Alligator mississippiensis: one gene and its partners. Each later gene encodes a partner of the first gene's protein in a complex. Links are inferred from orthologs where the notes say so. Each region holds a gene or a part of one and is shown on either strand. Other genes may lie near its edges.

Evidence for each region.
Region 2: GEMIN5 (region 1) and STRAP share a complex: the UniProt entries of both Homo sapiens proteins name them as parts of the SMN-Sm complex. The link is inferred for Alligator mississippiensis from reciprocal best matches to the Homo sapiens genes GEMIN5 and STRAP.
Region 3: GEMIN5 (region 1) and GEMIN2 share a complex: the UniProt entries of both Homo sapiens proteins name them as parts of the SMN-Sm complex. The link is inferred for Alligator mississippiensis from reciprocal best matches to the Homo sapiens genes GEMIN5 and GEMIN2.

The regions. Positions count from the first base shown.
Region 1 is NC_081832.1:77,079,041-77,086,366, reverse strand, and holds the start of GEMIN5 (gem-associated protein 5), read left to right. Parts: upstream 1-2,398; 5' UTR 2,399-2,434; coding exon 2,435-2,579; intron 2,580-4,400; coding exon 4,401-4,555; intron 4,556-5,043; coding exon 5,044-5,225; intron 5,226-6,235; coding exon 6,236-6,387; intron 6,388-6,639; coding exon 6,640-6,756; intron 6,757-7,326. Other genes in the region: MRPL22 (large ribosomal subunit protein uL22m), read right to left, coding at 2,134-2,179, 2,264-2,309. UniProt on the Homo sapiens protein: The SMN complex catalyzes the assembly of small nuclear ribonucleoproteins (snRNPs), the building blocks of the spliceosome, and thereby plays an important role in the splicing of cellular pre-mRNAs.
Region 2 is NC_081827.1:120,442,551-120,449,876, forward strand, and holds the start of STRAP (serine-threonine kinase receptor-associated protein), read left to right. Parts: upstream 1-2,176; 5' UTR 2,177-2,309; coding exon 2,310-2,421; intron 2,422-3,280; coding exon 3,281-3,416; intron 3,417-4,499; coding exon 4,500-4,581; intron 4,582-4,835; coding exon 4,836-4,908; intron 4,909-6,248; coding exon 6,249-6,345; intron 6,346-7,326. UniProt on the Homo sapiens protein: The SMN complex catalyzes the assembly of small nuclear ribonucleoproteins (snRNPs), the building blocks of the spliceosome, and thereby plays an important role in the splicing of cellular pre-mRNAs.
Region 3 is NC_081825.1:260,112,824-260,120,149, reverse strand, and holds the start of GEMIN2 (gem-associated protein 2), read right to left. Parts: upstream 4,579-7,326; 5' UTR 4,564-4,578; coding exon 4,313-4,563; intron 4,135-4,312; exon of another isoform or gene 4,082-4,134; coding exon of another isoform or gene 3,927-4,081; intron 2,610-3,926; coding exon 2,525-2,609; intron 1-2,524. UniProt on the Homo sapiens protein: The SMN complex catalyzes the assembly of small nuclear ribonucleoproteins (snRNPs), the building blocks of the spliceosome, and thereby plays an important role in the splicing of cellular pre-mRNAs.

The DNA of each region.
Region 1 (7,326 bases):
CCTGCACTTGTCTGTATTGAAACCCATCCTATTTTCGTTAGCCCACCCCTGTAACCTATCCAGGTCCTGCTGTAATCTGTCATAGATTCATAGATGTTAGGGTCGGAAGGGTCCTCAATAGATCATCGAGTCCGACCCCCTGCATAGGCAGGAAAGAGTGCTGGGTCTAGATGACCCCAGCTAGATGCATATCCAATCTCCTCTTGAAGACCCCCAGGGTAGGGGAGAGCACCATCTCCCTTGGGAGCCCGTTCCAGACCTTGGCCACTCCAACTGTGAAGAAGTTCTTCCTAATGTCCAACCTAAACCTGCTCTCTGCTAGCTTGTGGCCATTATTTCTTGTAACCCGAGGGGCGCCTTGGTGAATAAAACCTCACCAATTCCCTTCTGTGCCCCCGTGATGAACTTATAGGCAGCCACAAGGTCGCCTCTCAACCTTCTCTTGCAGGGGCTGAAGAGGTCCAGGTGCCCCAGTCTCTCCTCGCAGGGCTTGGTCTGCAGGCCCTTAACCATACGAGTGGCCCTTCTCTGGACCCTCTCCAGGTTATCCATATCCCTCTTGAAGTGCGGCGCCCAGAATTGCACGCAGTACTCCAACTGCGGTCTGACCAGCGCCCGATAGAGGGGAAGTATCACCTCCTTGGATCTGTTCGTCATGCATCTGCTGATGCACGATAAAGTGCCATTGGCTTTTCTGATGGCTTCGTCACACTGCCGACTCATGTTCATCTTGGAGTCCACTAGGACTCCACGATCCCTTTCCACTTCCGTGCCACCCAGCAGGTCATTCCCTAGGGGACATGTCCCATGTCCTTCGCTACTAGCATGCCCACCCCAAATCTTGGTATCATCAGCAAATTTAAATAGGCTGCTTTTCACCCCATTGTCCAAGTCACTAATAAAGAAACTGAACAGCGCAGGCCCAGAATAGCTATTACACACCATTCTCGATTTTCTGGCTCTTTATCCATTGGTTTTTCGTTACATAACAATGGTCCTCACAAAAACGAACCCCCAGCCTATCAAAGTCTGAAGTTGGTTGATACTTACCCACTTGTTGGTTATTTGACCGTTAACTTCAGATTACAGTACTGATTTTTACCTTTGCCAATGGCAAAATATAAAACAAAGCCTAATTTTTTTAAGTTATGGGTCACAGACAGAAGTATGTTTCCTTTACAATGAAAGCTACTCCCCCAACTACTTTTAAATGGTTAAGCCAATTTTGATCTGATAATTAACAAGAAGAAATGAAAGACTAAGGTGTTGCGTAGATAGAGAAAAATCCCAGATTTCTACAACTTTCAAACATTCCCCAACCGGAGAAGACAAAAGCTGTTTATTTGAGATATAGATATCTATAGATAGATAGATATAGATATACCTCTCTCTCTCTCTCTCTCTCTCTCTCTCTCTCTATATATATATATATATATATATATATATATATATATATGATGCCCTCTGCTGGCCAAATACTGAGGTGATAAGTGGGCAGCCAAACCTGTTGATTTTTGTGAATGAAATCAATAAGTGAAGCCAGGAGCAAACCATTTAAGCCAACTCTTTTCTTGCATGGCATATTACTTTTCTGAGTCAACTTTAAAGAGGTTTTAATCGATACTCTTAAGTCAAATAGTATGTAGACTTCTGGATACTAGAAAACTGTTAGAAATTCAAATTACTGTCACATCACATTTTGGTTAGAAATACCCAGTATCTATGCAAAGAGTTGTAAATGAGAACAACATCAGTCACCATAAAACTACATCAATTCCTAAAACTGAAATAGGAAAAAAAAAAAAAAACCCATTCACGCCTCTGCTTGAAGGCCAGATTCAGGCCAAGGACACTCGCTTTGTTGAAGCAATGGGAAAACGCACGTTAGAAGCCATCAGCCGGTCCCATCTCCCTCAAACCAGGTTTTAAGAGAGCAATTGAATTCAAGATATTTCACACCTGCTTTGACAACAGCCTTTTCCAAGCCACTATTTCCACCGCAGGTTTTTTTAAACACGTTTCTTGCCTCGTAACTCACGTGTCATAGTTTGCATTCGGCTTCAACATCGAAATGCAGCCGCTCCCCTCTCCCACACTGAGGGCACACAAGATGGGGAGCGGGGATAGACTCACCTCTCCGGCCAGGCCCCGAGGAGCATCCGCCGCGCCCAAGCGAGGCCTGCACGAATAGAAAAACGAAACACAACCCTACATGAGCCTCAAAACCACCACCCAGCGTCTTCCCCAACCTCCCCTCACTCACCCGCCATGGCCGCCGCCATTGTGGCCGCCTCGCTTTGACCGCGCATGCGCGGAACCCAGCGCATGCGCAGAGTGGCACCCGCGCATGCGCCGAACCAACGGCGGGGAGGTCAAAGGTCGTTTTGCGACCCTTGACAGCAGCGCCGGGCAACGGCAGAGCCGCGGGCACGCGATGGCGGCGGAGCGGCTCCTGCCCGCCTCGCCCAACTGGTACCTCAGCCGCTGCAGCGACGCGAGCGCCGGCGCGCGGCTCTTCGGCTTCGCGGCCCGGAACAGCGTCTACCTGCTGCGGGTCGGCGCCCAGCCCGCCTTCCACGGTACCAACCCCGCGATCCCGGCCCCGGGGCAGCACGAGGGAGCATCCTGCCCCGCAACAGGCGCTGCTTCCCCCCCGCCACGTGTTAAGCCTCCATCAGAGGCCCCAGGGGCGCGTTTATACCCGTAACCGTAAAAAAAACCCAAACCTTTAAATACCATTTTAAAGCCGTCAGTCTTACACACGTGCCCGTTAAAGCGTCGCGTGAGGGGACGTGCCGACGCGCCGCTGAGGAGCAAAACAGGCCGCGCAGCATCGAGCCTGGCTCAAAAAAAAAGCAGTGTTTTTGCTACCGCGTGTTCGGGCAGCCTCGTGTGCGTGTGCTTTATTTAGCACGTGGGCGTTTGAGCTAAAGCTCGTTCAGCCGTCTTTAGATACAGCGTCCCCGCTGCCATTTTGAACCAAAGGGGATGCTGATGCACAAGATGCTCCGGGAGCTTTATTTAGAGCCCCTCTAATTAAAGCGTTTCCCCCCCCCCCCCCCCCCGACGGTGGGGGGCACGTGTATAAACGCTCCGAGGTTCTAAGTTTAATGCGCATTAGGAAAGACGGACTAATGCATGTGTAGACACGCCCTCGGTGTTGGCCGCAGCCCAGGCTGGGGATCTGTGGCCGTGCTCCTGCTGGGACTCGACCCGGAGGGTCCTGGCTAGCGGATCCTTTCCCTCCACTCGGTGTCAGACCAGTGCTGCGTTGGGGGCAGGGAGGAATCCCCCCCCCCCCCCCCAGTCAGATTGGTATGAACTATGCAGGATTTTGCTTTCCCCTGTAGTCGGCCTTTACCTGAGATCTTTTAACCATGTGTTAACAGCCTTTTATAGGAGCAGGACGTTGGCTGCTTTCCCTGTGGCAGGTTCAGGTGTGATGTCCATGTTGTGTCCGGGTCGATGGTAGTTTCACTAAGAGGTTAGATAGGTGGGGAACGGTTTGGATAGAGCCGATCCTGCCTCGAGCAGGGGTTGGACTAGATGTGACCCCTAGAGCTCCCTTGCAGCCCCACGGCTCTAGGATGCTGTGCGCTGCGATTCACAGATTAACCGCGGAGATGGCAGATGGGAATCCGTCGTGTTAAAAGCGTCCTGCCCTGCTCTGCGCTTCTGCGGTTCCTTGGAACAAAAGAATCGCCCCGTTGTTTTTCAGGAGTCGAAAAGCAAATGAAAGCCAAGAGCTGGCATTTTCTAACAGAGTCTTTGAGCCTAACAAGGGGTCTGAGAACCGCTGATCCAGAGTGGTCTACCCTGTTATACCCTCCCTCGCATGCACCATCCTCTGTTAATTCAGCAAGTACCTTGTGAGAAGCACATGAAAAAGGAAGGTTCAAGGGTGTCAACGGTGGCATCCCTGACTTTTCTGTTTCATAGCTATTAATGGATCTCATGCATGAAATTGTCCTGTCCCTTTTCACCCTGGCTGAACTATCTGCCTCTACAATGTCCTGTGGCAGGGAGTTCCACTAATTAACTGTCCACTGCATAAGAAAGCATTTTCTCTTATTAGTTTTTTGCCTGTCTCCTGCTCATTTCAGTGGCTGTCCCCTTATTTTAGTATTCCGGGAGTTGGTGAATAACTGTTTCCTATTCATTTTGTCCACACTTTTGTTTTCTGTGGAGTGTGGGACATGCAGGGATGAGTGTGTGATTCTCCTGCTTCCAGCCACTTTTACCCCAGTTGTTTGTTAGTGGATGTTGCAATGCATAATATTGAATCTTTTGTATCGGGTAGTTTGTAGAAAGAGTACTCGTTCAGAGATGGGGAAAGGACAGCAGTTTCTCACCAAGAATTCGGTCTGTGAATGTTTCCTCTTTTTGTATTTCAAACCTAGGAGAGCTCATCGGTCATACAGAAAGGGTTTCTGGATTTACCTTTTGTCATTTCCCTGATCAGACCAACCTCTGCGCGAGCAGCTCAGATGATGGAACCGTGAAAATCTGGGATACTCAGACTCTGTCTCTTGTAACTGAGCATACGCTCCATCAGGTATAGTAGCCAATAACCAGGTCCGTGTGGCTGTAGGAAAACCACTAGAACAAGCGTTTTCCCAAAGCTTTTATTAGCTAAACAGGGGGCAGAAATACATGCTGGGACCAAATAAGAAGATCCATGTAGGGATCTACACCAGTTTCATTAAACTAATTTTAAAATCCATGTCAGTTAAATCAGTGAAGGTTTTCTGTTTGTTGGTTGGTTGGTTTGGGAAAAAACATTTAGTGTGGAGGACATCCTGGTAAGCAATTGTGTGTGGATCCCTTTGCAATCTTAATTTCCTGGCAGATCTTTGACAGCTACAGCAGTGACTTTCCCGATCTTGCTCCGTATGTAAACATTAATGCCTTTAGTTATCTTAACCGAGGATAAAACTCCTACCACTTTAGCTGCCTCATTTAGTATTGTTTCACGGTTCATCTCTGCCTAATATGGGGCTAGAGACAAGACTTTGTCATGCCCTGGTTAATCTGCATTTTCAGAATACAATCTCAGCCTTGCATTGGTCACCCCTTGTGAAAGATCTGGTTGTGTCTGGTGATGAGAGAGGCATCATCGTTTGTTATTGGCATAACAGAAATGACAGCCAACAGTTCTTCCCTGAGCCTAGGACCATCTTCTGCCTCACGTGTTCCCCTCACCAGGAGAATCTGGTAGCTATTGGGTAAGTGTTAATTATGTTGCTCCCTTTTCTTATGCTGCAAGGTAGATGGTGTGTGTGTGTTTTCATTGCAGCATAATTTTAAGGCTATTCTTTCAGAAATGGTGGTGGTGGTTTAGGAATTTGGCTAGTTCTCGTTGGCTAGAGTGGCAGGAGGGAAAAAGAAGAACCTAAATGAACAACCTACTTATCGGCTTTCTGTTGTATAATGGAGAAGTCTTGTAGTAACCCAGAAATGCCGGATCTCACAGACTCACTGGTCTTAGAAAGTTTATAGCAGTATGTGAATCTGGGCTGACTGTCAGGCTACAACTCATGTAAGTGACTGGGTGTTGGGAACAGAGCTGGAGGTAACAAGATAACTGTGTTTGCTGACTCTGTGGCTTTGACCTAAACAGTTCCACAAACCGATGGTTTGTATGGTTTTCTTTTTGTGCCACTCCCCATAGCTTCATGAGGCTTTTGCTGCCTACTGCAGTTCCAGCCCTCTTGATGCACAGCACCTGTTCCTGCTTTATGCTGGATCCATTGTGATGGATACTTGGCAATCTAAGACAAGATTATGTGGAGGGAAAGCTAACACAGGACAGGGGAGGGCATGAAATTAATTTTAGGAAAAGAAATTAAATCTTTCTGAACAAAAGATCCCTTGCTTTTTAAGTTCCCCAAGGTCAGTAGTGTTGATCCTTGGGGGATCATTGTCTCGTATGTTGCATTACTCCTGGAGGTATGTTAGTTTACACCAGCTGAGGATCTGACCCATGCATGCAAGAGGCAGTATGTCCTAGTGCATAGAGCATTGTGGAACTCCATGTACCTGGGATCTTCCCAACTTGGCCTCTAGCTTCATGGATGACCTTGGTCATGTCTCTCTCCATGCGTAAGATGGGGATAGTGATGCTTACCTTCTTGGCAAAGCACTTTGCTAACAAAAGTCACTATATGCCAGTTCAGTATCATTGTTATGAGACTCTTAAGCATTTTTTCATCACTGTCTAACTGCTTGTTTTTAGTTACAAGGATGGCATGGTGGTTATAATTGACATCAGCAGGAAAAAAGAAATTGTTCATCGCCTGAGAGGTCATGATGATGAAATACACTCCTTGGCATGGTGTCCTGTGCCCAATGAAGAAGGATTATATAGTTGGCAAGAAGAGCTTCAAGGTACACACAAACTATTAGGGGACTCCGAGTAATTCCTTGTAACCAAATCAGTTCCTTGTTTCATTAATAAAAATAGGAGTCTGAGGCAGTCTGGGATTCAGTCTGATTTAAAATAAACTCAGTCTGCTTTACAGAAAAATCTGTTCTTTGGGCAGCATAGCTGAACTTCATCATCTTTGCTTTTTATTTGTGCTTTGTATTTCCCAAGTGTTTTACCATTGTTTTAACACCATTTGATATTTCTCTTGAAAGCAGGTGAGGTTCCAAATGGGGAGCTAACACAGGAGGCAGCTGTAGCAAAAGGTTGTTACCTGGCTTCAGGAAGCAAAGATCAGACCATCCGGATCTGGAGCTGTGCTAGAGGCAGAGGTGAGCCAAAACATTTCTCTAAGGCAATAGTGGTACTATGCATGGACGGTATGTCTTAAGCATGCTTTCTGTGTAGTAGCCCGGTGACTTAGCAATGCAGACGGCATTCTGGGATGACTGAACAGATGTGGCCATATGCAAGACATAAGATAATTATTTCATTCTCTTCGTTGCTGTTGAGACTTCCATCAGAGTAGTACACCCACTTTTGGGCAGTGTAGTTAAAGAAAAATGTAGTCATATTGGCAAGAATCCAAAGGAGGGCAGCAAGAATGGTAAGGACTTTAGAAAACAAGACTTGGGAGGAAAAGTTGAGAGAATTGGATTTGTTTAGTTTTAAAAAGGGAAGACTGATGAAGGACATTATAGCAAGTTTTTCCATACTGGAAGACTTATTCAAATAGTGATCAGTTATTTGCTGGAGTAGAGAAGAAATCAGCTTAATTTTACAGCAAAGGTGATTTAGGTTACATATTAGGAAGAACTTTCTGGGAAGGTAATGACGGACTCAAACAGGTTACTTAGATCATGGAATCTTCTTCATGGGAGGCTTTAAGAACAGGTTAAGAA
Region 2 (7,326 bases), on another chromosome or scaffold:
CGTACTTTCCATCAGGCCTGATGGAGATATGTATTGTGAAGATATCTCCATTATGGAGATATTGTTGACAGGTGTTACATGTCTTATCATGGCATGTCTGGATCCATTCAGTGTGTTTTGGGCTGTAGGAAGCTGGCTTCTGGTGATGAGGTTAGTGAGGTTCAGTGCTTGTTTGAATTTACAACCCACTTTTCACAGATGAGCCTATGAATTGCACTTCATCAACCTCCTGGGTACAGAAACTCATGGACTCAATATAGACAGTGGAATTTTGACACACTACAACCTGACTGACATCTGACTCCCCAGGTACCTCTCCATTTTTACCTGCTACATCCTCCTTCCACCCCCCCATCCCAGCCTTTCCCTCACCCCCTGATGCTTCCATTTCCATTTTCACTGACTGGCTCTCTTGCCTGCATTGCATGCCAGCCTCTGGCTTCTTTACTATTCCTTCTATCCAGGAAGAGCACACACACCAACCGCAGGTGTTTCTTCAGCCTGATGAAGGGTTTTTTAACCTGAAAGCTTGCTAAGATATATTTCTCCAAATATTCAGTCGGTCTACTAAAAGATACCAGATTGACCCAAAGAACCGTGTCTGCCAGTGCCATGTCTTTAGACCAACCCCCTTAGCACCTGTCCCTGGTTAGCTGACCAGGAGGCAGGGCCCTGGGCACATCTAAGCCCCAGGGCTAGGGCTGGCAGGGAGAGTGCTCTGGCATCTGCGGGAGAAGAAGCTCCTGCAGGAGAAGAAAGAAATGCTCTGTCGCAGTTTGGCTGCCTGAGATGCTAGTGCTACTGTGTTGCTTACTTACCTGTTGTTATTTAAAGTGGTGGACCGAAATGAGGCTGTAGGGGAGGAAGAGACTTCATTGGGGCACACTACCATGTCATGTAGGATGACACCAGCACCAGCACCAGTGAGGGCGCACCTTAACACACACACCAAGTGACACATCACAAGTTTGCCTGAGGTGCAGTTTCCCAGAAACCCCTACACCTGTCTCCTTGAAACCTGGCAGGCTTCATGGTCTCATAAGGGGCTACCATCCCTGAGGTTTTCACCCCCCGCCCTTCAGTTACAAGTGACACAAATTTTGCTCTGAACAGTTTGAGGTGCAGTTTCCCCCAAACCCCTGCACTTATCTCCTTGAAACTTGACATGCTTTGTGGCCTCAGCAGGGGCTATGTGCTGTGCTGTCTTCATTCAAATTAGGCGAAAAATGATACTTATAGGAATTTTTTGTGAGTCCCCATTATAGCCGACGGGCGAAACGTTGAAGTGCGTCAGCGTTGAACAGTGAAACAGTTTTGACAAAATGAAACAGAACCGCGCTTGAAAGGAAACGTCTAAATGAAACACTGTCCCTTTGAAAAGGCGAAACGAAACTGAAACAAAAAGGTGCTGTTTTGCACAGCCCTAATAGACGCCCACCAGAAGTGGTGCAAGCACCTACTCCGGATAGCTTTGAGAAATGCCTGGACGCCTATCTTACAGGGGTCACCTGACCCCAACTGACTTCCTGCCCCTGGGGCAGGGGGCTGGACCCGATGATCCGGCAAGGTTCCTTCCAGCCCTAATGTCTATGAAATCTAGGTAAAAGTGCCCAGTCTGCCGGGGGAGGTCGGCGGACCACAGGCTAAAAAGAGAGAGCGTGAAGGGAGGGCGCCTGTTTCTCAGCCTGGTTAGATTCATGGCGCCCCTCCCTCAGAAAATGCCAGGTTGCGTTCAGGGGTGTGTGTTGTAGCCACGCTAGTCTAAGGACACAGGCAGACAAGGCTCTCTGGGTAAATGTGGTCTCTTCATTTTAGTTGGCCAGATTTACCCAACGAATCGTCGGTTTATTTTCACGTTTTGACAGAAAAGCAGCAGAGGTGGGCGGGCGGCCGCCTGCGGCACAGGTTTCAGAACAGCATGGCCTGCAGGCTGCAGCTTCGGAGCCCTGTTTGCAAGTCGAACAGCGTCCAACTACGGCCGCGTCAGCCCCCGCCCCAGGGGAGGGGCTAGTGCGCGAGGCCCCGCCCACTATCGAGCCCTTGTCTCGGGCAGGGAAACGCGGGTAGGGTAGGAGGGAGCGGTCACGTGACGGAAGTTGAGTCGTCACGTGGAGCGGGGTTGGGGAGTCCGCATTTTCCGGTCTCCCCTACAGAGACGCACTTCCGCCGGCGGCGACTTCCTCTTTGTCACTTCCGCCACCTCCCCGTTTCCTGCCCGGCAGTGGGGGGCTGACGACGCGTGGCCTGTCCTTGCGAGCGCGCGCGGTCTCCCCTTCCCGCCGCCGCCCGCTCTCCCGCTCGCCGCCGCCATGGCGATGCGGCAGACCCCACTGACGTGTTCGGGCCACACGCGGCCCGTGGTGGACTTGGCCTTCAGCGGAATCACCCCCTACGGCTACTTCCTCATCAGCGCCTGCAAAGGTGAGGGCTGGAGGCGGGGGCGGTGTTCTTCCGGGCCTGGGGGGGCGCGGCTTGTCTCGTCCTTCCCTCCCCGCTCGCGACCAGGCCGCGGGGCGGGGGGGGGGGGGGGGTGGTGTCTCCTTTCTCCTTTCTTCCTTCTCCCCGTGTCCTGTACGAGGCATGGGTAGGGGGTCAGGGTCAACATGGTGGAGGGAAGGCCAGGCCGTAGCTGCCCCATTGGTTAGGGCAATGGGAGGACGTGGGCGGCTGCTTTCCACTTGGGCCCCAGAGGCCCAGGTCCTGCTTGTGAGGAAAGTTCTGTTTCTGTTCTGGATTTGGATCTGATGGGAGGACTGCAGAGGTGCCTGCCCCACCCGTGCCTGCCTTCAGAATAAAGTGTCTGTGGCTTGACACCACTGCCGGGATTGCAGTGCATTCATTGCAGCAAATGGCCTCTTGTCCCTGATTTTTCCCTGGGTACATCTTTCTTCTGTATCTTTTTAGGATACTATCTTTTGCACATACCCATTGCCTTGACCAAATAATTGTCTTCCTTAAGAGGACCCTCTATGTCAGTGGTCACCAACCAGTGGATCTCAATCCACTGGTTGATCTTGGAGGCTTTTGGAGCCAATCCGAGGCGGGGGGGGGGGGGGGGGGGCTGAGTGCCTGTGTGCATGCATGTGCGTGCCCTAGCCCAGCAGGTCAATCCATGGGGGAGGGAAGGGGTGGGAGCTAGATTGAGGCCCCTGAAGTGAGGGACAGTGCCGCAGAGGCAGGAGCAGCAGTAAGTTGAGTGTAGTGGGTGAGTTCTTTAGATCTGTTAGTCATTGTTAAGTACATGTATTTTATCTGATTGTTAATCTTTCTTTTTCCCAAGATGGCAAACCTATGCTACGCCAAGGTGACACAGGAGACTGGATTGGAACATTTATGGGTCATAAAGGTGCCGTATGGGGTGCCACTTTGAACAAGGATGCCACTAAAGCAGCTACAGCAGCTGCAGATTTTACTGCGTAAGTAATTAACCATGTCTAAAATTTGACTGTATTATGATTTCAGTTTGCAATCCTAGAATTTTGTAATTTTTTTAAAATGCAGTTTCTGCATTAAATATATTTGCCTTTCTTACACACCTGGCCGATTTACAGAGACTTGTATTAAAAATTATAGAAAGTGAGGTTGTTGATATTTGTGGTAATACAGTAATGGTAGTTAAACTGTAGAGATGGCTTAACGGATTACTTTTATGGACATAGACTAATAACATAATTGTCTACCAACAACAATTTTAGATAGCCTCTAATCTTTTGTGTTGCAGTTATATCGGATGCTAAAGTCTTCTAGAAGTATGGGGGGTTTTTTGTTCTTTTAACTGCCATTTCTCACTTTTTTCCCATTTGACTTCTTCTGGTACCTACTTTTTTCCCATTTGACTTCTTCTGGTACCTACTGTCACTTAATTTTTCTCAAGTTAAATTATTTTCTTGTAAACTTGCTAAATATTTACATGCATGCTTAATGTTTTTGTATACACAATTTTCTTAACTTTGTTCAGACTACTCAGAGTATGTGTATAATAGTTCATAAGAATGTGAGTGCAGATCATGTACAAGTGATTCATAATTTTAGGCAGACATTTTTCAAACCTACTACTAAAGGGAGAAGGGCTGTTTATTTTGGAGTGGTACAAAGGAATTAAAGAAATGGAAATTCTAAGGCAGACAAGGTTCTTTGAGTGAATTTGATATGTTTTATTAGACCAGCTTAAATAGTTGGAAAACAATTATTAAGCAAGCTTTCAGGTTCAAAAACCCTTTGTCTGGATAAGGAAGTTTCAGCAGTTGGTGTGTACACTTCCTTGTCTGCCTATGTCCTTAGACCAACACGGCTACAACCTACACCCCTGGAAATTCTGATGTATTTGTTCTTAAACACTAAGCATTTCTACTGTTGGGCTTTACGTGTTGCCAGAGTGTAGTAGTTATGTATAACCACTACATTATGTTCTCAGGAAAATCTTGCTGCAACCTGAATAGTTAGTTTAGTTGCAATGCACTTAGTAGTAACTATACAACTGTATTTGTACTGTCTTTCAGCAAAGTATGGGATGCTGTTTCAGGAGATGAACTAATGACATTAGCTCACAAGCACATTGTGAAATGTGTGGATTTTACTGAGGTACTGTTCTCTTCCCTTTCAAACCCCCACTTTTTCCCCTAGGGAGTGAAACTCTTGGATATGGTTAATTACTGCGGCCCTTGTTTCCTTATGCTTATTTTCAATGGAAGGTTCATGTTAACTGCTCTGTGTTTCGAAGGGATAAATTAAATATAACATATGCTGTAGTAGATTGCCTGCAAAATCATCCTGAGTTTTAACTGTAACCCACATTTTCAGTTGAGAAACCTAACTCTAGTTTTCTGCTATTTTAGGACAGTAATTATCTGTTGACTGGTGGACAAGATAAATTGTTGCGTATTTATGACTTGAGCAAGCCAGAAGCAGGTAAGTCTGCTTTTTAAATCTTCCCACTTAAAGTTCTTTTTTTTTAATTGTTATACAACTGGCTTTGAAAATGATCAGATCTGCTGAATTTCATAAATTACAAATATTGGGAGTCTTGTTTTTCCCAGTTAGTCATGGAATTGAGACAAATTCCTATAATAATAGGACATGCTGGAAATCTCTAGCAGCCTTCGGGTTTCACTGCTCTTAAATCCTATGCTCTTTTCAATATTAGTTTGATTTGAAGGGTTTTATTTTAGTTGTCAAAACTTCTGAAATTATCTATTCCAGGTATTTGCTTGGCTTCTGTTTACATCTTGCAGTTATGTGTTTGGTAACTGTTACATTGATTATCATAAGGTACTTTTGAATTGCCCACAGTATTTTTAGATTACATTGGCCTTGTCACTCTGCGCAGTAAAGTTGCACTGGTTCAACTTAAGGTTTTTCAGTAGCTCAAACCTGTGTCCACTCTTTCTGTTCAAGGGGCTCTAATTTCAGTTTTAATTACACGTGTTCATAGTGGACTTGAGCTAAATCAAATAAGTTGCTCTTAACACAAAAGCAAATGTCCATGCATAGTTTATACAAATCTAACTAATTCTGTTACTGAACCTAAACCAGTGCAATTTCTCTAAGGGTATAGGAATAGCCTTAACGTTTAAAATGCTTCAAAGTGCAGCTGCAACTACATGGAGGGAGTGCGAATGGAGCTGAAGTCAATGAAGGCTGTCCTATCCACCTCACACTTGCTCTCCTGGAGTGCTTCCCAATTCTGCTGCCCCACCAGAGGTGGGGAAGGAGTGCAGTTATGGGGCTGGAGAGTAAGAATCCTGGCTCTGGTGCAGAGCGCTCACAAAAGCGCTCACTGACACAATCCTGATCTCCCCCCTGCCCTTCCTGTGGGAATGTGGGAGTAAGGGGACAATCACTGCTGGAGGAACCAGGGGGTTTCTTGTCATATTTTCTAGACCGTGTATATGTAACAGGAATAATTTAATTTTTAAGTGCTCCTAAATAGTTCTTGCTTCCCTCAGGGTTATATTTGGAGGCTTCCAAAGGATGTGTATATCTATTTATACCGTAAGTTTAAAAAAAAAAAAAAAAAAAGAAAACTCTAGTTTTCTCTCACCCTTACATATTAAATTCAGGATAAAAATTCCAAATACTGTGACAGTATCTTTCATCTTTACTCTCAAGGCTGGTTGTTGATTTATTTTTTTTTTTTTCTCCCCACTATTAATGATTAGCTACATGCACTTATAAATAGTGATTTGAGTCATGAGATTCTTTCCTTTTTCTTTTGTTTTATGTACTAAAATACTTGCTTTCATCTTCAGAACCTCAGGTGGTTAGTGGACATAATTCAGGCCTTAAAAAGGCTTTCTGGAGCAGTGATGACAAACAGATCCTTTCAGCTGATGATAAAACTGTCCGGTAGGAAACAGTAACTTTCATACTTATGAAATATTTATTTTATTTCATCATGTAATCAGGTTGCAGTGCAGCTAATTTAAATTTAAACCCAAGTTATGCATTTTAATGATCAGGTGCTTTTTTGGTGTATTTGGAGTATATAAACATAGCTGGTAAAAAAAAAAAAAATCCCTGATTATTGCTTGCATATGTGGTGGCATTGCATTATATCTTGAACCCTTCTTAATATTCAGTTCTATAATGAGAATTGATGAGAAATGTTAAGTGTGTGTTTTTTATTTAGCTCTGGTATGCCAGCTAATTAAGAGGTGAAATTGTTTTGTTGCCATCTGATTTTTACATGTTAAGTGTCTGCCATCCAGCAGTTCTTAGGTTTCTCTAGTGTATATGCCTAATGTGTCATAGTGATGAGAAGTGGGGAAAGCATTGGATTCTTACAAAGAATGTATCCCTATCTTTAATTACTTGATTTTTGCCTCTTGGGTAGATATGAAATCCCCCACAAACCTTGTGTCAGCTGGAAAGGTGGAGGTGTTGTTCACTCCCTCCTCCCCCCCCCTTCCCAATATTGTAAGCTGTGAGAATCTACCACTTCCTCAGTTTTCTGGCTGCTGTGACTAGGGTGCTGTCTTTGCTATAAAACCCTTAGTCCTTTATCAGCTGTAGTGTTAAGGTAATAGATTTCTTCTGTTTTATTCCAGCTCCTGGTGGAAGGATTTGAAGTTATTTTCCCTTCCTGACTCGATTTAAGCTGTGTCAGCAAGTGACAGTTTCTTGTCAGTTTTAGCAGCACACCAAATAGGCCAGAACCTGTTTTTTAATCCCTGCTGAATCTTGGCAAAGATAGGAGCAGCAATGGCAGAGGCCCTGGGTCTGTGTGTTTGACTTGCATCTAGAGGACTATCCTAGATATATTTAGAAAGTTAACTTACCTTAGATATTATGCATGTATTGGTCTTAATTCCTTTGGAACTGACACGA
Region 3 (7,326 bases), on another chromosome or scaffold:
AGGGCACTTGAGGGGAAAACCAGGAGTAATGGCCACAAATTTCTGGAAGACCGATTCAGGCTCAACTTTAGGAAAAACTTCTTCACAGTCAGGGTGTCCAGCCTGTGGAATAAGCTCCCTCCAGAGGTGGTGCAATCACCTACCCTGGAAATTTTCAAGAGGAGACTTGCTGGGGTTATCTGACCCCTACTTGTATTTCCTGCCTGTTGCAGGTAGTTGCACCTGATGATCTTCTGAGATCCCTTCTGGCCTTATAATCTATGAATCTTCCCCACTGTGTGAGCCACCCCAGCCTGGCCAGGCAGCAGCAGTGACAGCTTCAGCCTTCAGCAGCAGGGAAAAGTGTAGAGGAGACCATGCAGTAGCAGGGAACTGCTGCAGTTCCAGCCCAAACATGGAGCTGCCTCTATTGCTGCTGTTTATCAGGGCTGAAGTCAGGCAGTAGAGGAGCGTAACAGGCAAATGGTGGGGGAGTGGGCAATGGTAGGGAGGCAGGGACTAGAGTGCATAAGCATGGGGTAGAAGGGAAGGGGGCAAGGAGTTGTGGGGGATCTGACTGTCTCCTTGTTACTGCTTTTCTCACCACAGCAGTGGGAGCGACAAATTTAAGCTGACCCTCCAATAATCAGATAGTATACATTCAAAATTATAACAAATGTATTATTTCCCTTGTATAGAATCTAGTTACTGGGACATCATCCTAAATTCAAAGTCATTTTGGATTAGGGTAAATACAGTAGTAGAAAGCAATGCTTCTTCACTCATAAGATGACAGACTAGGACAATTTAAGATAAATCATAGAAACTGGTTATAAAAAAGCCATGCAAGTGTCCAAGAATGTACTCTGCAAACAAAAGATAGTGCTGGAGTAGCACTTATCAACACAAATAGAGATATGATATAATTGCATCTTAACTGTTTTGTAATAAGCCTTTTTACATTGCTTATAAAGAAATGCAGTAAATATGGTAACATTTCCACAATTTTGTTGTATTTCTATACACCAAATGTAACTGCCAACTGAAGGTACAAATAAAATATACCTTCAGCTGGCAGTTACATTTAGTGTATAGAAATACAACAAACCTGTGGAAAAGTTACCATATTTACTGGAGTCTGCAGTGACTCTGAATGTAATTGGTTATAATTTTCCAAGTATAGGATCTAATTATTGGAGATTCATCTTTCATTCATCCCCCCACTGCTGTAGGGGAGCAGGCAGGAGGAGGGCATGTAGTATGGGAAGGTCAAGAAACTTGTCCTCTACCATCTCTGCCTCCTGCCTGCCTCTGCCAGCCTTTGCTCCCTACTTCCCCTCCAGCCTCTGCTCCAGGCCAGCAGGCTCCGTCCCCATTCTAGCCTGAGGCATTGAGCACAACCACAGTCTGGTCCTGTAAGACCAGCCATGCTGGTAATGTGCCACTTCTATGTGACCAGGAAGGGGCTGTGCTCAGTGCCCCAGGCTACAGCATGCACAAAGCACGAATAAGGGGGGCACTCACTGCTGGGGGTACCAGACACAGTGGACAGACAGGGTCTCCATGGAGACTGGACTGGGAGCCCCAGACAGGGTGCACTAGGCCGGGCAGATGGAATGGGACTGCAGGGTGGTGACAGCACAGGGCCGGGTCCTGGGGCAGAGCCGCAATCTGCTCTCGACATCATGGCTCTGCCCAGGCCTCAGCCCTGTGCTGTTACTGCCCTGCAATCCTGGCCCCACCCACCCATCCTAGCTTTAGACACTGCTTCTTGCACGCCCACAGCCCCATTCCATCCGCCCAGCCTAGTGTGTCCTGTCCATGGAGGTCCCAGGCCAGTGTCTATGGAAACCCCACCTGCCCCAGCACCCCCAAATGATAGGTGCGGGGTAGATGGACCAGGATGCCCAGGCAGCAGGGCTGGATCCAGTGGCAGTGGCAACATTGGCAGTAGCAGCCAGAAAGAGCAGCCACCAACAAGGATGCCAGGAAACAGTCTGGCTGCCACGCTGCCCCAGCCCCACTGTGTGCCTGGGGACGATGGGACCATCCACACGCACCAAAGCCTAGGCTGCCACCTGCACCTCAGCCAGATGGGTCTGAGTGACCCGCCACGACCTGGATAAAATGCTTGGTGGACCAGATCCAGCCTATGGGTTGTATTCTGGCCACGCCTGGGCTGAAGTCTTAGCTTCTGTAGCTGCCTGCTCTCTGTCCTTGTATTCACTTCTAAGACAAGGGGATTCCCTCTATATGAAGTGGGGGGAACCCTCATATTAGAATGAAGAAAATATGGTATACATTAGAACAACTGAGTTTTACAGAGACTGTAGTTTTTCCACCAATTCAGAATTTGGACTGCAGGGCTGGAGATTCCATTTACTTGTCCAAATTCTTTTAAGATATAGGGACAGTATATTTTAAAATTTACTTGAGACTTCCAGGTATTTTAATACAAATATTTTTCTATCCTAGAATTCTCATTTCATTTATTTTAGTCTGTGTTTTCTATAAGTCTCTTAAGAACATATCTCTACAAACTTACTGAAATATTCACGGTCTGCTTCTTTCTCAGCTTTTTGGGGTCTATCTGTGCCACAACAACATCTGGGCATTGTGAAGCTTCAATCCTAAAAAGAAAAAAACGCCACACATTTGTAATCCCTCTCTGCTGCATTCCTTAGAATTACATAATTAGTTTGCAAATAGTTGTAATATTTGCATAGGGACCAGATCAAAATATGAGGCACTTGCACAATTAAGTTGTGTATGAGAATGTATTAAAAAATGAAAAGAAGAGAGAATGCTTCTAGGAGAGGGTATGCAGCAAGGTTTTAACAGAAACAAACAAACGGAATAGAAACAAATGCAGGCATCTTTTAAGCTTGCTATTTAGGCCACAGTAGGTATATACCCTCATTTTATAGAGAGAAAATGAGAGCAGAGGTTAATTTGTTTTAAATGAGCCAAGCTGTGGCAGTCAGCAGAATCCCAAATCCCCAACTCCAGGAGTTCTCTGCCTTAGCCACAGGACCACCTTTCCTTTGGAGGCAGCAGTGAAGGCTATTACCTATTGACATATACAGCTAGTAAGATTGCATTTTAATCCTTCTGATTAAAGTAAACTGGATAAAGACTCCAAATGCTCCCATGTTACTCAAGAGGAGGTTAGATGAGTATCTAGCTGGGGTTGTCTAGACCCAGCGCTCTTTCCTGCTTATGCAGGGGGTCTGACTCGATGATCTATTGAGGTCCCTTCTGACCCCAACATCTATGAATTCCAACATAATACTGTGGGGGTGGAAAACAGATCATGATGTGCAGCATGGGGTCAAAGAGTCCTAAGAGAAACTACCCTGATACACAGATGAACATGGCTGAGTCATGTTGGGGGGGGGGGGGGGGGAAGAGGGGCGGATTGTGTGTCGGAGTGTGCAAGCAAGTTTCTATTTAAGTTGGTGTTAACAAAAAATGTCAAGATCTTAAACAAGGAAAGAGCAGTTACATTCACTGGCACCAAACTCAGCAGTTATTGGCACTACAGTGGCACTTGGGGGCTCCAGAGGAGAGTGAGCAGGGTGAGATGGTGCTGCCCAGACATGCAGCCCAGAGCATCTCCCTCTCAGAAGATTTGCGGCAAAGACCCCAGTGGGTCCTACAGTATGCAGTGCACTAGCTCCTGCATCCCGCAGGGCACTGACACGAGGCTAGGCGGTGCAGCAGCACCGGGGCAAGGCAAAGGGCTCCCGGTGGTCAAGCCGGTGCTTCAGTCTCCCATGGGGTCCCTCCGAGCCAGCCCAGCTGCAGAGCTCGGGGGAGCTGCTTCCCGCGGAGGCGGGCGGCGCTAGAACGTGCAGTGGGACGGGCGGTCCCAGCCCCGGCCCCGTCTCCGTCCGCTCCGCTCGCCCCAGAGCGGGGGGCGGCTCCTGCTCCCCGCTCCCACTTACTGCACCCGCTTGAGATACTCCTGCGGCGTCCGCGGGGGCGCGGTGGGATCGAAGTCCTCGGCGAGCTCGCAGTCCCATACTGGCAGCAGCCGCGGCATCAACTCCTCCATCCCTGCCTCCATGCCCGCCAGGACGGGCGCGCTCAATGATGTCATCCACCCGCAACTCACCGAACAATAGCAAACACCACCCCTAGCCACCAGCGGCGGGCGCGCTCGGTGACGTCACTCAGTCGCGACTCGCAAAGTGAAGATAACGTATAGGTGTGTACGCCCCGCCCCGCCCCCTGGGCTCTGCCTCGAAGGTGGTGACGCCCCTTGGCGGGGGAAGGGGCGGTGCTTGGGGCTAGAGCTGCAGCGCCCGCCGCGGCCGTTCTGGGGACTTACTGGCGATCTCCCCCGGCCGGGCCGCGGGGGAGGTGCTGCTGCTTGTTGCCCACCACCGGCCCGCGCCTTCTGTCGTGCAGGGGGCTGTGGGCAGGGCAGCCTGGCGTGCCGGGGTCTTCCCGCAACGCGGCTGTCGCGCGAGCTCGGGGCCCTGCGCCCTGCAGCGCAGGAGCGCGGAGGGAGGGGAGCTCAGTCAGGGCTCTCCGGTCGGCCTCCCACGCGCTGCGTGGGCACACTGGCCCCAGAAACATGACACTATCTAGTCGCAGCGGGACTCTGCCTGGGAGGAGGATTACTAGAGGTGAACGATGGTGCAGTCAGCTCCTGAGTGATTTAAAAATACCACATATCTTTTATTAGGTCAACGTGAATGGAAACATTCTTCTTTACAAGCTTTCGAGTACAAATACCCTTTGTCAGGCAGAGGAAGTGTCTGCCTGAAGTGTACCTGAAAGCTTGCAAAGAAGAATTTTTCCAACTATTTGAGTTGCTCTAATAAAATACCACAGCACCTCATTAAACTTCCCAGTAGTTACACCAACTCATATGTGCTCATTTGAATGATAAAAGTCAGATGTTACTAGAAGAGCAGAACCTGCAGGGTTCTGGTGAAGTGGGATGGATTCTTTCCCTGCTAATCTGTTACCACTTGGTTCCATGTGAGGACTCACCTATAATTGCAGGGACCTCTCTGAAGTTAAAGAGGACTCTGTGCAGAGTTGTCCATTGGGGTCTGGAGTTACCCCATTTCACAGATTGGAAACTGCAGCACTGAGATGCTGTTGAGTGGAGTGGGGACTTGAAAGTAGGTCTCCCAGTCCTTAAGGTAGCTCCAAGTTACTGGACCACCTATCCTTTCTGACACTTTACCCCTGTTCTGTACAGATCTACCCAGTCAGTTTGCTACTAGGATGAATAGTAATGAATGACAGAAAGTCAGCTAAAATATTTACTAAAGAAATCATTCTTATTTCATCTTTTCATCATCTTTGGGGCTTCCATAATGAAAGTTGGATTGTGGTTGAGGATGGATAGGAGGAAGCTCTTAAATCATCATGGTCTCTACAATGCTCAATGCAGCTTCTTGAAATGGTAGCCTTTGTTCTAGACAAAGAAATATTAAACACCATTGTGCACAAGCAGTTGTGTGATATTAATCTATAACTACCAAATAATGAAATCTTCAACAAGCCACTGAGTCTTTAATAACAATTCTAGGGACCTGTGCATAAAGCTCAGCATTAGCAAGTGGTTCTTTCAGGTCTAGTACTTAAGAACAAAATCCTGCTCCATTTCAGTCAACAGAAGTTTTCCATAAGTAAATGTACTGTGTTCATAATTTGTCCCATTTGGGAGTTCCCTTTGGCTTCTGTAAAAGTAGACAGAGAGCGTGTCTGTCTACATGTGCATTAATACACTTTTTCTAATGCGCATTAAATTTAGTACCTCCAATGTAAGGTACTAAATGTGCATTAGGCTGCCTTAATGTGCAGTAGCACAAGCTCATGTTTTTAGGTGCCACTTAATGCACAGTAGCTTATTTTACTGTGTATTAGCATAATAGCGCTGTTTTTTATACACTGCTTTAACGCACGGTAAAATAGGCTACTGTGCATTAAAATACATGTGTAGACATGCCCAGATAAATGTAATTATGAGTTTGATGTGAATTGGACTTTTGTATAGATAGATTACACTGTCAGTTTGGGGTATACCTCAGAAAAATAACTATCAAGGACTTCAAAATCAGTTATTTTATTTCTTTTTCATCTCACTTCTATGTATTTCCTTATTTCACCTGAAAGAGGATACATACAAACTCTCTTAATGAAAAGCAAATAACTCTTTTAAGAAAAATGTTAACTATTATATAGAATATGAAATATTCCCTACCCATCATATAACATGGGGATAATAATACTTGTTTCCTGTATAAAGCACTGAGTGATGGATAAAAATATACAAGAACATGGTGCTTGATTCAGTCGGTGGTACAGATATCCTATTGACTTCATCCCAAAAGGCCAGTGCATGGATATTAAATTTGATTGCATATTCTGTAGTTATACAGGCTTAATTAGATCCTATATGAAAAGCACCAGTAATGCCAGGCCAAAGTCTAACTGAAAGTCCCCACCAGTGTAAATCTGTAGGCAGTGTAGTTTAAACTGTTATTTATTAAGTTGCTAACTCAGAAGTCACTGCTAACACATATTCTTTGTGTTTTCTTTCTACAATAATTTTGATATAGACTGAGCTGTGCTGTGCTATCCACAATCTGGATGTTCTGCATGCATGGTAAAGATCAAGGGGTAACCCAAACCACTAGACTAGCCTCTTATCTCCATTTTTTAAAGTAGTATTGGTTATTTCTGAAGGACTATATTTTCTGAGCAGTTTTGAGCAAACACTACCCTAGAACTTTCCTCTCCATTTAATTTTTATTTGCTTTTAAGGTGTTTCCTGAAACCGTTTATGTGTAACAATCTGCTTTCTTCTGGAACCGGATGTAACTTCCTATTTCTGTGTGCAAAAAGTGTGGTCGTCATCACTTGAAAGAAGACCTGCTTAATTAAAACTACAATTGCATTTCTGCAGAATTTGACATGGTAGCCAAGAAAAGCCTGAACTCTATCAATCTGTAAATGGATATACTGAAAATATTCAGATGTTAGGAATTATAAATGTATATGTTCTGAAGAAAGGAATTATAAAAAAGAAAACAAAAACCAAATGCAGCATTATGATACAATTGTAAATATAAATTACGTTAAAATGATTTTTTTATTTTGATTTTTAAAGTTGAATGACATACATTCAATTAGCCACTTTTAAACTGTTGCAAGCAACAAAAGTGGTTTTCTAAAGATATCAAGATCACTGCTGACAAGACTTAATAATATAGTTCATTGAACATCTGGTGGAGCTAAACATGATTCAGCAGGTGAAGAAGAGAAAACTGTCAAAGATGAAAACTCTATCTTTTTATCAACTGCCTAGGAAACATAAAGGAG